Linked DNA regions of Saccharomyces cerevisiae S288C. The gene in region 3 interacts genetically with the main gene of each other region. Each region holds a gene or a part of one and is shown on either strand. Other genes may lie near its edges. The genes, in order: SLY1, IRS4 and MDY2.

Region 1 (3,758 bases), on a different chromosome or scaffold from region 3:
GGATTATGCAACTGGGAATGTGCCCATTCTTGGAGGTTTTGATATTCTAGGTAGTTACCGCCACCAACTACAAACACTAGTGACTTATTATAAGATTGTCTTTTTGGCTTTCTGGTATGGGAACCCCTTGTAATTTTTGGGTCGATGTATAGGTAACTGTCAGTAGTCTCCAAATTTTTTTGAGAGCTGTTTAAAGGGTCCATTATCGCATCAACAACATTTGTTATCGGGATGGTTTTCTTTTCAGGCAGTAACTTCTTAATACCTGATATTAAACTTCCTACACCTCCTTGTAATTTGCCTTCAGTTAAGCCATAGATACCGGATAATGTTAAGTTGCTTGGTTTGAAAGCGGAATCGGATCCATCTTCCAAAGATTTATTTTGTAACGACATATTTGATAATTGCATGAACTCTCTTAGCTTATAAACATATTTTAAAGCATTGATATCGTAATCGTTTTCCTTGAAATAGTTTTCCACATTTTGGACAAAATCCTTTGGTAAGCCTGTCGTTGATGTCAAGTAAAGAACAATAAACGATCTCAGTTTGTCCTCAAGATTGTTTGTCTTACCATCTTTTAGTATATCCAAAAACCTAGATCTTGTTTTGGTGCTTCCAGGGTCTTGTTCAACTTCAAAGAAAGTATCAAGACTTTTACTTTCCAATTGTGACAACAATGCAGCAAAAATATTCATATGTGTATCAATAGTATTTTTCTTAGCTGTTAACTCTGGCAGTTTCTTTACGACTTCCTGAATTTGAACCGTATCATTATTCGAGTTTGGGTCCAAATCTGATATGTTGGTAACACCAGTTTTCCTAGTAATTTCTGCGGCTTCCTCCTTGTACGTATTCAATGCCGCTTCAACGTTCTCTGCAGCTTCTGGGAATGGCAAATGAGAGTTTTCCATCCAAAAAAAATCGTTTGGCTCTATATCATATTTTTTCGTGGCTAATGGTTTTGCGGTGGTATTGTCAGTTCCGTTTTCCTTACTTTCAAGTGGAATAGTAACGGTGTTTCTTGATAATTTGAAAATATCAAAGACCATGCACTGATAAATCCACGAATGTGAAAACATGGAGGCAAAATCTATGTTTCTATCCAAAATAATCAACACTCCTCTTTCCAGAGAATCATTTCCCTGCAAAGTGGAAGTGGAGGAGGAATTGGTATTGATGACGAAATCACGTAATTTTGTACCCAGTTTCTCAGCGATGATCTCAGCAGGCCCACCCTTAGCTGCTCTTATAATGGGGATAGAATTGATCGTTAAGACAGTGTTGAATAAACCGTCCGCGATGTTGGCGCATAAGCCCGTGATTTCCTCTTCTGTGGTTTTCGGGTCATTCAATGTCAAGTATGCGTTTGAAATTTCTAGTGAGAACAGTTCCGGTTCAGTTACAATGAAGTCCAGGTATTGGTCGTAAACTTGTTTGATTTTATCAGATTTACCCGTGATGGAGACTTGTTGAGCCAAATCTTCCAGGAGGTTTCTGGGCAGAGATGAGGTAAAGTTGATGTAAAATTCAGAATACTTGTCGCTTTTCAAGTCATTGACTATAATGTCAATGTTTTCCTTTGTGGGGGAGACGAAATATATGGCAGGGACATCTGGCAAGGGAGATCTGTCTTGTTTAATCAAGGAATGAACGGTGATACCAGCTTTCAGCAGGTCATTGACTCTGAGAACAGAAGATATGGTAGCAGTGCTCTTGATGTCCAGTATCAACACCTTCCAGATGATCTCCTGCTGGTTAAAAATATCGTCTGTGATGGTGGTGATGTTGTCGTTGTTGTTCAAATCCTTATTTAAAAACAGCATTTTTAATATGGCAGAGATTTGCATATCTCTTAAACTAATGTCCTTGCGGGACGCAATTTCCTCCACAGCCATGATGTTGTGATTTTTGGTCAAAGATACTTAGCAACTGGCAATGACTATTATAAGTTATCATGTCAGGTTATTAAAGGCTGAGTTAGAATGGTGCTTCTTTTTTTTGTTTTTTTTTTGTCGTTTCTGCAATTACTGTGGTCAACGCGAAGAGGGAAACGGTGTTCTTTGGCAAAAATTGGTATGATATTTTATATAATAAATGTATATATACAAAATATGATGATGATGATAGTGACTGGAAAAAATATGTTACATAGAATTTTTGTATCTGACTACTATTACTACTAGTATTCGTGTTCTTGTTATTATTATTATTATTATTATTTTTTATTACTGTGGTGTTTCTTTCAAAGTGGATCTACCTGCCCTTAACAATTCATCGCATAATAACAAGTTGCTGGCAATACCTGTAGCACCGGTAATAGCATTTCTTAGTACGCGGTAGGAATCCCAAATACCCTCGATGGTAGGGTCGCAAGAATCACCTATGTTCAAGTCCACACCAACATATCTCGTTTCGTCAGAATCCTGAGCGTCATCCAACTCGTCCTCCACCATTGCGAGCACGTCCAATGGGTCGAATCCTGAGTTCTTCACCAAAGTCTTTGGAATTACCAGCAATGCTTCTGCGAACGCCTCAATACCTGTCTTTGTTTTACCCTTGGCACCCAACTTGTTCATGTTGGCAGATCTTAGGTATCTCGAAAGGGCGATGTAGAACGCACCAGCGCCTGGAATGATGTTTTTGTCCTTGAGAACGTTTGCCACAGCTCTGAGACCATCTCTCACCGCATCCTTTGTTTGAGCGAGGGCATAATGAGTGGAGCCCTTGATTAAGATGGTGCAAGACTTGGGGTCAGTGTTCTCTGTAACGTATGTGAATTTTTCCTCGCCTATGGTTTCTTGGTAGACCAAGCCAGAAAACCCAAGAATCTGAGGCGACAAGTCTTCCACAGAGTTCTGAGCTTCACCGCCAGTGACCAATTGCAATCTTTCCATGTTACGTCTCTTGGCCCTTCTCAAAGCCAAGATGTTGTGTTTGGCAAACACGTCTAAAGACATGGGGTCAATGCCTTTTTGGTTAATGATAACAAAACCCTTGTCTGGATCCATGCCACAAACTTCGTTTTTCAAGTCGATGATCTTCTTCAACTTGGCATCCACAAACTTCCTCTCACTAGCGGCCAACTTGTCCCTTTGGTCCGCAGAACTGTAAAAGAACCCAGAGTTAACTTCAGTCTTCTCGTATTCCAAAGATACGTTCAAAATCAAAACATACGCGTTCTTCACACGGGTGGGCATGTCAGGATGCCTACCACCGTGGTCCAATACCAAACCCTTAATAAAAGTGGTATCTTTAGGAGACAAGTGCTGCATCTGCATGATCTCAACCATGTGTAAATCCAAATTGTCAGCCTGCGCGTCGTACACGCTTAGCACCGCATCCGTTACAATGGGCGTCAAGACCTCCGTCAAGTCAGCGTCCACCTTGGTTAGCAGCGACGACCGGGCCACTTGCAGAAGGAACTCTCTATCATTGGAAAGGTTCGTCTTACTGATCTTGAATTCGTCCAAAAATTTCATGGACTCCTTCCGCGCAATCTCAAACCCATCAGTGATGATCCGCGGATGCACGCCCTCTTGAATGAAACGGTGCGCTTGTCTAAGCAATTCACCCACAAGACACACAACCGTCGTGGTCCCATCGCCCGTGATTTCATCCTGCGCGGCAGCTGCCCTAGCAATCAGTACCGCTGTAGGCGACTGGATCTGCATCTCGGTCAGCAACACTTTACCGTCCTTGGTCAGCTTGATGTTACCAGCACCATCCACAAGCATCTTTAGCGTGCCCTTAGGGCC
Region 2 (3,758 bases), on a different chromosome or scaffold from region 3:
TGGCTGTTCAAAAGTGTAAATATAATCGCCCGGTCGAAAAATAAAAACTTCTTTAGAATCTTTGGATGGTGTAAGATAGTTATCCTCTTGCTCAGGACTTGGAGTAGCGCCACTATTACTGAATGTTTTTGTAAACAAATCAGATATGAAGGTATGAGGTGACAAAGAGTTACCGTGAAAATTTGCCGGTACCGATCCTCTTCGACTAGATGATGGTAATGGTGTCTTTTGAATAGCCAACAGTTTACTGTCGTCATGGGAAACATCACTTGATACTGGCTTGTTACTCAAATTATCGGATGACAATGAGTTGCGCTCATAGGCATCCAGACTTAGATTGCTATTATCTTTAGGGGGTTCAGCGGTTGGTGGGATATATACTGAAGCACCGCTTTTTTCAAGTAGATAATCTTCATCGCTCATAGATGGGCGATTGGACGAATTATTTGAGCTGTGATGTTCTAAGGTGAAAGAATTCATGCCGTCATCCGCCTGATAAAATGGCCATGTGTGATTGACAACAGTTTCAACATCTGAAAATTCTTCTCTCTTCGGTGGTATACCTTCCGGCCACTCTGTTCTGGATATTCCTTTGAAGGTTATCGATATACTTTTTAATTTATTCGGTTTCAACACCCTGACGATAAGAGATCCTCGTAAGATACTGGGGGCTATTTCAGACAGTCCGTTAGTTTCAAATCCTTTTAAAAACACTATGGGTTCGGCAAGCTTTACAAAGACTTGTAGTGTTGTTGTCTGCACCAGTGGGACGGCATCAGGTGCTGCATTTATATCTTGCTCCATGGGAAACACTGGAGCTACAGTATCATTTTCTGTATTGAATTGGAGCATGTAGTCATAGAGGAACAAGCAATATTCTATGGGATTCCAGCGTATTTGTGCGGAATGGAACTTTCTGTTGGTTGTCTTTCTTGTTGCTTGTCTCTTATTTCAACGAGTTGTTCCCATTTTTGATAAGATGGGGATAGCGAAATAAGACAAAAGAGTCAATATTTGGCAATTCGCTCAAAGAGGTAAAAAGACGGCGCTATTATATATCTGCGTATATATACTACAAACAGCCGGGAATACATTTGGCAAAGTCCTCGTACGACAATAGGGCAATTGCTAGTAGTGTTAAGCAGTTTTTCAGGTGAACTTGCAAACCGAAAAAGAGGAAAAATTGGTTCACATAGTAAAATGCACTCTCTCGAAGGAAGTGTTCGGTGAAAGCCACGATATGCCGCTGGAAATTACAGTTCCTTGATTAAAGATTCTACTGTTTGCTTCAACTTGTTAATTTGGTCTTCATTGGCGTTTGTAATTTCTTTGAGAAGGTCGTTGACTTTTATTAGGTCATAATAGTTTTCGTAAATGGTATTCTTGATAGAATTGTTAGTCTCGGTTTCTTTGCCCAAGAGCTTATTGTGAATTTGTACTAGCCTCTTAAAGGGCAGGTTCTTTATCTCTTCTTCTGCATCTTCTGACCCCTCCTTGAGATCCTCTTCAGTTGCACTCAATTCGTCATCTTTCACTGGTTTCTCAGTGTTTGCTTCGGTATCTATATTCACATCTGTGACTTGCTCCTCCCCAGAATGAGCCTCGCTGGCTTTTTCCCCTATACGTGCTTCTTGACGACCTTTATTCGGTTCATTTTCCAAGTTGTAGAATTCTCTTAAGAGCAATCTTCTATCTTTGTTCAGACTGCTCACCCTCAGGGACTTTTTGTGACTAATTTGTTCTGCCATCTGTACTTAATATCCTCGTCAGATTCCGTCTCACCGCAAATACGCCTCTTCTATGCAGAGCCTCACCTATACGTACAACTTACTGCCTCTTGTTTCCACGCAGCGAAAATTCGATGATTTCTCGTATAAAGCATATCGAAGTTGAATCATCACAAAAAGGCCCATTGTGTAATGGACCCTTGCCACAACAACACTCTCGTTGCACAGGTAGAACATACTTTTAAGGCCTGGGTAGATTCATTTTTTTGACATAGGAAAAGATTAGCAGAGGAGTATGAGACTTTCGTTTGGTAAACAGCGTTATCATGGCGGTACAACAGTAACTTTGACTGAACAAGGAGCTTCAGATTCCCTTCGCGCTGCGCAAGCTATCTTCCAGAACCATTCCAATGAGGTCAGCAGTCCATGCCCTCCAGTAACGGTGAGCAGGAATCCTCAAACTAGGTTATCAGAGCCATCGCTACAAAAGTCAGGGCGGAAACAAGAACAAAAGAAGGCACGCATACGAACAAAACAGGTACCTAAGATTAAAACAACGGCGCCTAATGATGTTGAGTTGTCTAAGAAACACAGGTCAAGCCCTGCAGGTAAAGATAATGTTAGTAGTACTGCTCAAATGGCAGCTGCTTTAGCGCATTCACAATCGAAACTTAGTTCTGACAATAACTCCTCCCATTCTTCGGCATTGGATACACTAAAAGTTCTAGAAACTCCGAACTTGAATGGCTTGCTGGGCATTCATTCACGCTCAAGCTCAAGAAACGGCTCCAATGAATCACTGACGCCTGGCCAAAGAACTCCCGACAATAGATCTCAAGAGAATTTACTTACTTCCTTTAGTAGCGGTAGAAGGCTATCCTCGAGCTCTATGGAGCCTGCAACTAATAAAGACAGCAACAAAGCTCTGCCCAAACGCAGGCCGTCTCCTCCCTTGCAATCATCACTTGTCGGCAGTGGTCAGCTTCATGAAAATGAAAACCTATCATCAATTAGCATCGATTCCAGACATAGTCTCAATCCGGACACTTCAGACGTTATTTCTAATAGGTCACAAACAAGTCTATCTCAAACAATTAATCAACTCTCGTTATGTGAATCAGAGCCATCTATTGCAAGCTCAAACACTACTACTACAACGAGCAACCAGGGAAGTGGTTTGCCCAACTTGGTTCCGAACTATTCATCCGATATGAGGAAGAAGAAGCTTGTTAACAAGTTCAAAAGGAAAGTATTTGGTAGTAAGCCCAAGCACTTATCTTCACAATATGAAATGGATGCAAGCAGCGAAGAACTGGGACAACATGAACAACAACCGAGTATGAGATTTAAAACAACATTACGTAAAACCTCTGTAAGTACAAACGCAGAAAATGATCATGCATCCTCTCTACATGAGGGAAATCTGAGGTATAAGTACAATCCGTCCAACGACACGTATGATGTGTATGACGATACTGATTCTGATTCTGAATCTGATCAGAACCAGGACGCCTTGACCAAGCCACGCAAAAGAGATAGAATTAAGAGAAAGATCAGGAATTCTGCCAATAAAACTGCACATCATAGGCCTATCCACCGCACGAGAGATCGGAAATTCAATGAGGATAAACCCTGGAAATCACATACAGATATAACTTTCGTAACAGACAACGAAAGGAAGCGTTACGAAAGCATGTGGGTAAGCAACAGACACCGTCATTTGAACCTGTTGAGCTGGTGGCCCTCTATAACGGGTGATTCCGGAGCAATTAATACTTTACCCGAAGATGGATTGATATTGGGTATCATAGTCCGTGATATCTGGAAGCGGTCTAACTTGCCCAATAGTCTATTGGCAGAAATTTACACGAAGGTAGACACAAGAAAAGATGGTACTTTAGATAGGAAATCTTTTATTGTGGGTATGTGGCTGGTCGATCAGTGCCTGTATGGCAGAAAACTTCCCAATGTTGTCGAGCAATGCGTTTGGGATAGCGTAGATAGATATGCTTCCACCACGGTTGTGCCAGT
Region 3 (3,297 bases):
CTTTTTTTCCTCCGGGACGTGAAATAACCGCCGAGGTTATTCTCGGAGCATTCTTTTTTGTGGCTTTTGATCATCCATCATCATCATCATCATCATTATTACTACTACTACTACTACTACTATTATTATTATTATTATTATTATTATTAGTATTATTATTATTATATTGATTAGTTATTAGATAGATACAATTAAGAAAAATTTATGTAAAAGGTCAGAATAAACAGCATTTTTCTCCTCTTTTTTTATTTTTAAAAAAAGAAAAAGAAACTTCTAGTAAAGTGCAGCACATTCAAGTGTGATTAGTTGAAAATGGAAGCAATTTTACGGTTCAATTTCTTCAAGAAACCGCCTTCCTTCTTGGTTTCCTTCTTCTCACTGACGGCGGCGGAAGCTTGCTTCTTAGTTTCTTCAACTTTGTTGGCAGCTTCGGTCTTCTTTTGTTCGACACCATCAGCAATGTTTTGTTCTTCCTTCTTCACCTGTTCAGCTTCTGGAGTAGCTTCATTTTTTAGGTTGTCGATAGAAGCTTCAGCTTGTTCCTTTACTTCTTGGCCCTTGTTTTGCAAAGATTCTTTGGTTTCTTCCAACTTTTGTTGGACATCTTGGGCGGCAGTTTCAGCTTTGTTTTGAATTTCAGACATTATTAATTGATATAAACGTAGTTTTGTATGTTTCTTTGATTTGAACTTTTAAGTATACAGAGAAAAAAACCGATCAAAGAAAACTAAAGTATAATGAGGTTAAAAACGAAAGTAATAAAGTAGAAAGGCTATCAAGCAAACTGAGATGATCTTCGACGTAAAAACTCGCTCTATATATATACGCCATATAAGCCCATCGGCGATGGGGGACAACACGAAGAAACAAGAGAAGAGGAGAACCGCACAGAAAGCAGCAGAAACAGAGCAAACCAGCATTAACTAAAGATGATAAAAATAAAATTAGGTAAGAAACCTTAATTGGATATACAAAAATACACTGGAGGCACAAATCGCCATCGATATAAAACACGATAAAGCCCTGGTGCACCCATAAACCACACGTTTAACTATTTGGGTCGGGGCACGACGAAATCTAGGGATAGGCACCCGGACCGTCGGGGCAATACTAGGCGCACACCGCGCTCGTGAAGCAGACCTCCCGGCGAGTTTAGCTGCGCCACGTACTGCTCTAACGCGAGAGACTCCTGAAACACAGGTCTAGAAAGAAGGGGCCCCAAAACCCAGCTCCACAGACCGCCCGTAAGCATATCGAGCAACAGGCCACTTAAGTTACGCCACCCGAACACCTCACCTTCTTCACGCAGCAAGAATCCGTTTACCCGGTGCACAACCTCCGCGAGCTCTGCCGCACTAAGATATTCTGACAGAGGCGAGACGGAGGAGCAGCCAAACACGTGATCCCCAATGTCGTAACGCCCGCACCGCACAAAGCTAGTGCCATCGTCGCCCACGATTGCCGCCGGCTCGCTACCGGGAAGCTGTGTACTAAATTGTGGCGTTTCAAGGCTGCTGCGAGACTCATCGAACCGCCGGGGCACTCGTACCACCCGGGTCACCTGGAACTCGGCAGAGCCCCGAGCAGCATACACATTCGGGAAATGTGTAATACACAATTTGTGGTCTTCGTCGTGCTCTGTGGGTTTAGCGTCTTCGGAACCGAGGTCTTCGTAGAATGAATACGAAAACTCATGGTAATTAAAAAATAACGCCCTTTCGCTCGTATTTGCGTTATCTTCTTCCTTTTGATGGCTATCGCACATCTAGTAAGGGTTAGATTGAGTATTGTCCTCTAATGTAACTTTTTCCTCTTATTCCTCTCCTCCCCTTAGCTATTATATATCTTTTTTACCGAATCTTGAATTAGGAATAGTTTTAAAATCAGGCCGGAGGCCGAGCTTGCGACAACTACGACCAAAAAAAACAAAGGAAAAACGAAAAGAAGAAAACATGCACAGGAGAACATAGTTGGAGAAAAGGGTTAGAACAGACCGATACAGAGATAAACTAGCGAAGAATAATAACTTTATACAAAATTAATCATGAGCACATCCGCCAGCGGTCCAGAACACGAGTTCGTTAGTAAATTCTTGACCTTAGCCACTTTAACTGAACCGAAGCTACCAAAAAGCTATACTAAACCTCTGAAGGATGTTACCAATTTGGGTGTCCCGTTGCCTACTTTGAAGTATAAATATAAGCAGAATCGTGCCAAGAAGTTAAAACTGCACCAAGATCAGCAAGGTCAAGACAACGCCGCCGTCCACTTAACCTTAAAGAAAATTCAAGCTCCCAAGTTCTCCATCGAGCATGATTTCAGCCCATCAGATACTATCTTACAAATAAAACAGCACTTGATCAGCGAGGAAAAGGCCTCCCACATAAGCGAGATAAAACTGCTTTTGAAGGGCAAAGTCCTCCACGATAACCTGTTCTTATCGGATTTGAAGGTCACGCCTGCCAATTCCACAATCACAGTCATGATTAAGCCGAATCCGACTATATCTAAGGAACCCGAAGCCGAGAAATCCACTAACTCCCCTGCTCCTGCTCCTCCACAGGAACTCACTGTGCCCTGGGATGATATCGAGGCTCTTCTGAAGAACAATTTCGAGAACGATCAGGCTGCGGTTAGGCAAGTCATGGAGCGTCTACAAAAAGGCTGGTCTCTGGCCAAATAAGATTAGTATAGTTAGTACGTACATACTTGTTATTTTACACAGTTGCGCTTTTTATCACGGTTGCGCTTACTATTTTCTTCTTTCCTTTGGGCGGCTACTCGCCCTTTGTCTATTTCTCGCCATCGCCACATACTCTCTACCGCGATCAATCTTTTCCTGGGTAATACCATTCAACGCAACCTTCTTCTTCATCAGGACTTTCTCAAAGATATCATTCGGATTGAGCAATCTTTTTGGGAAATTTTGAATCACTTGCAAAATCTCCATATCTGCCTCTTCCTGCGTCTTAATCTTGTTCTTTAATCTTTTGAAAGTTGAATCAGAGTCATTACTACCACCGAAGGTGTACGAAGAGTACTGTCTAAACAGTTTCTGGCTTTTACTCTCCAAAAACTCGCTTTCGCTCAATTTCAGTATCCCCAAAGCCACTTTAAATAAAAAATGAGACTCTTCATAGAATAAACAGTCCCATATTCTCAGGGTCGTTTCGATGGGCACCACGCCCACAAAACAGCTCATAAACCAACTTGCCGTACACAGCGTCAGCGTAGGCAGCCTGCAGAGATATTCTTCCCCCGATGCTGGCCCTGATATCTGGTCAGTGCTGCCATTGC

Evidence for each region.
Region 1: mutations in MDY2 (region 3) and SLY1 together harm fitness more than expected from each alone (negative genetic interaction), as found in Saccharomyces cerevisiae (3 studies listed by BioGRID).
Region 2: mutations in MDY2 (region 3) and IRS4 together harm fitness more than expected from each alone (negative genetic interaction), as found in Saccharomyces cerevisiae (2 studies listed by BioGRID).

Annotation. Positions count from the first base shown.
Region 1 is NC_001136.10:836,532-840,289, reverse strand, and holds the start of SLY1 (syntaxin-binding protein), read right to left. Parts: upstream 1,899-3,758; coding exon 1-1,898. Other genes in the region: chaperonin-containing T-complex subunit CCT6, read right to left, coding at 2,229-3,758. UniProt on the Saccharomyces cerevisiae protein: Able to suppress the functional loss of YPT1. SLY1 is essential for cell viability. May interact indirectly, or directly with YPT1.
Region 2 is NC_001143.9:476,328-480,085, reverse strand, and holds the start of IRS4 (Irs4p), read left to right. Parts: upstream 1-2,022; coding exon 2,023-3,758. Other genes in the region: ALY1 (Aly1p), read right to left, coding at 1-852; VPS51 (Vps51p), read right to left, coding at 1,254-1,748. UniProt on the Saccharomyces cerevisiae protein: With TAX4, acts as a positive regulator of INP51 activity and phosphatidylinositol 4,5-bisphosphate turnover. Negatively regulates signaling through the cell integrity pathway, including the MAP kinase SLT2. Also seems to be involved in rDNA silencing.
Region 3 is NC_001147.6:107,644-110,940, reverse strand, and holds MDY2 (Mdy2p), read left to right. Parts: upstream 1-2,044; coding exon 2,045-2,683; downstream 2,684-3,297. Other genes in the region: ZEO1 (Zeo1p), read right to left, coding at 303-644; SHR5 (Shr5p), read right to left, coding at 1,052-1,765; Rab GTPase-activating protein MSB4, read right to left, coding at 2,753-3,297. UniProt on the Saccharomyces cerevisiae protein: Required for efficient mating. Involved in the production of alpha-factor, the KAR9 and TUB1 location to the shmoo tip and nuclear migration into pheromone-induced shmoos.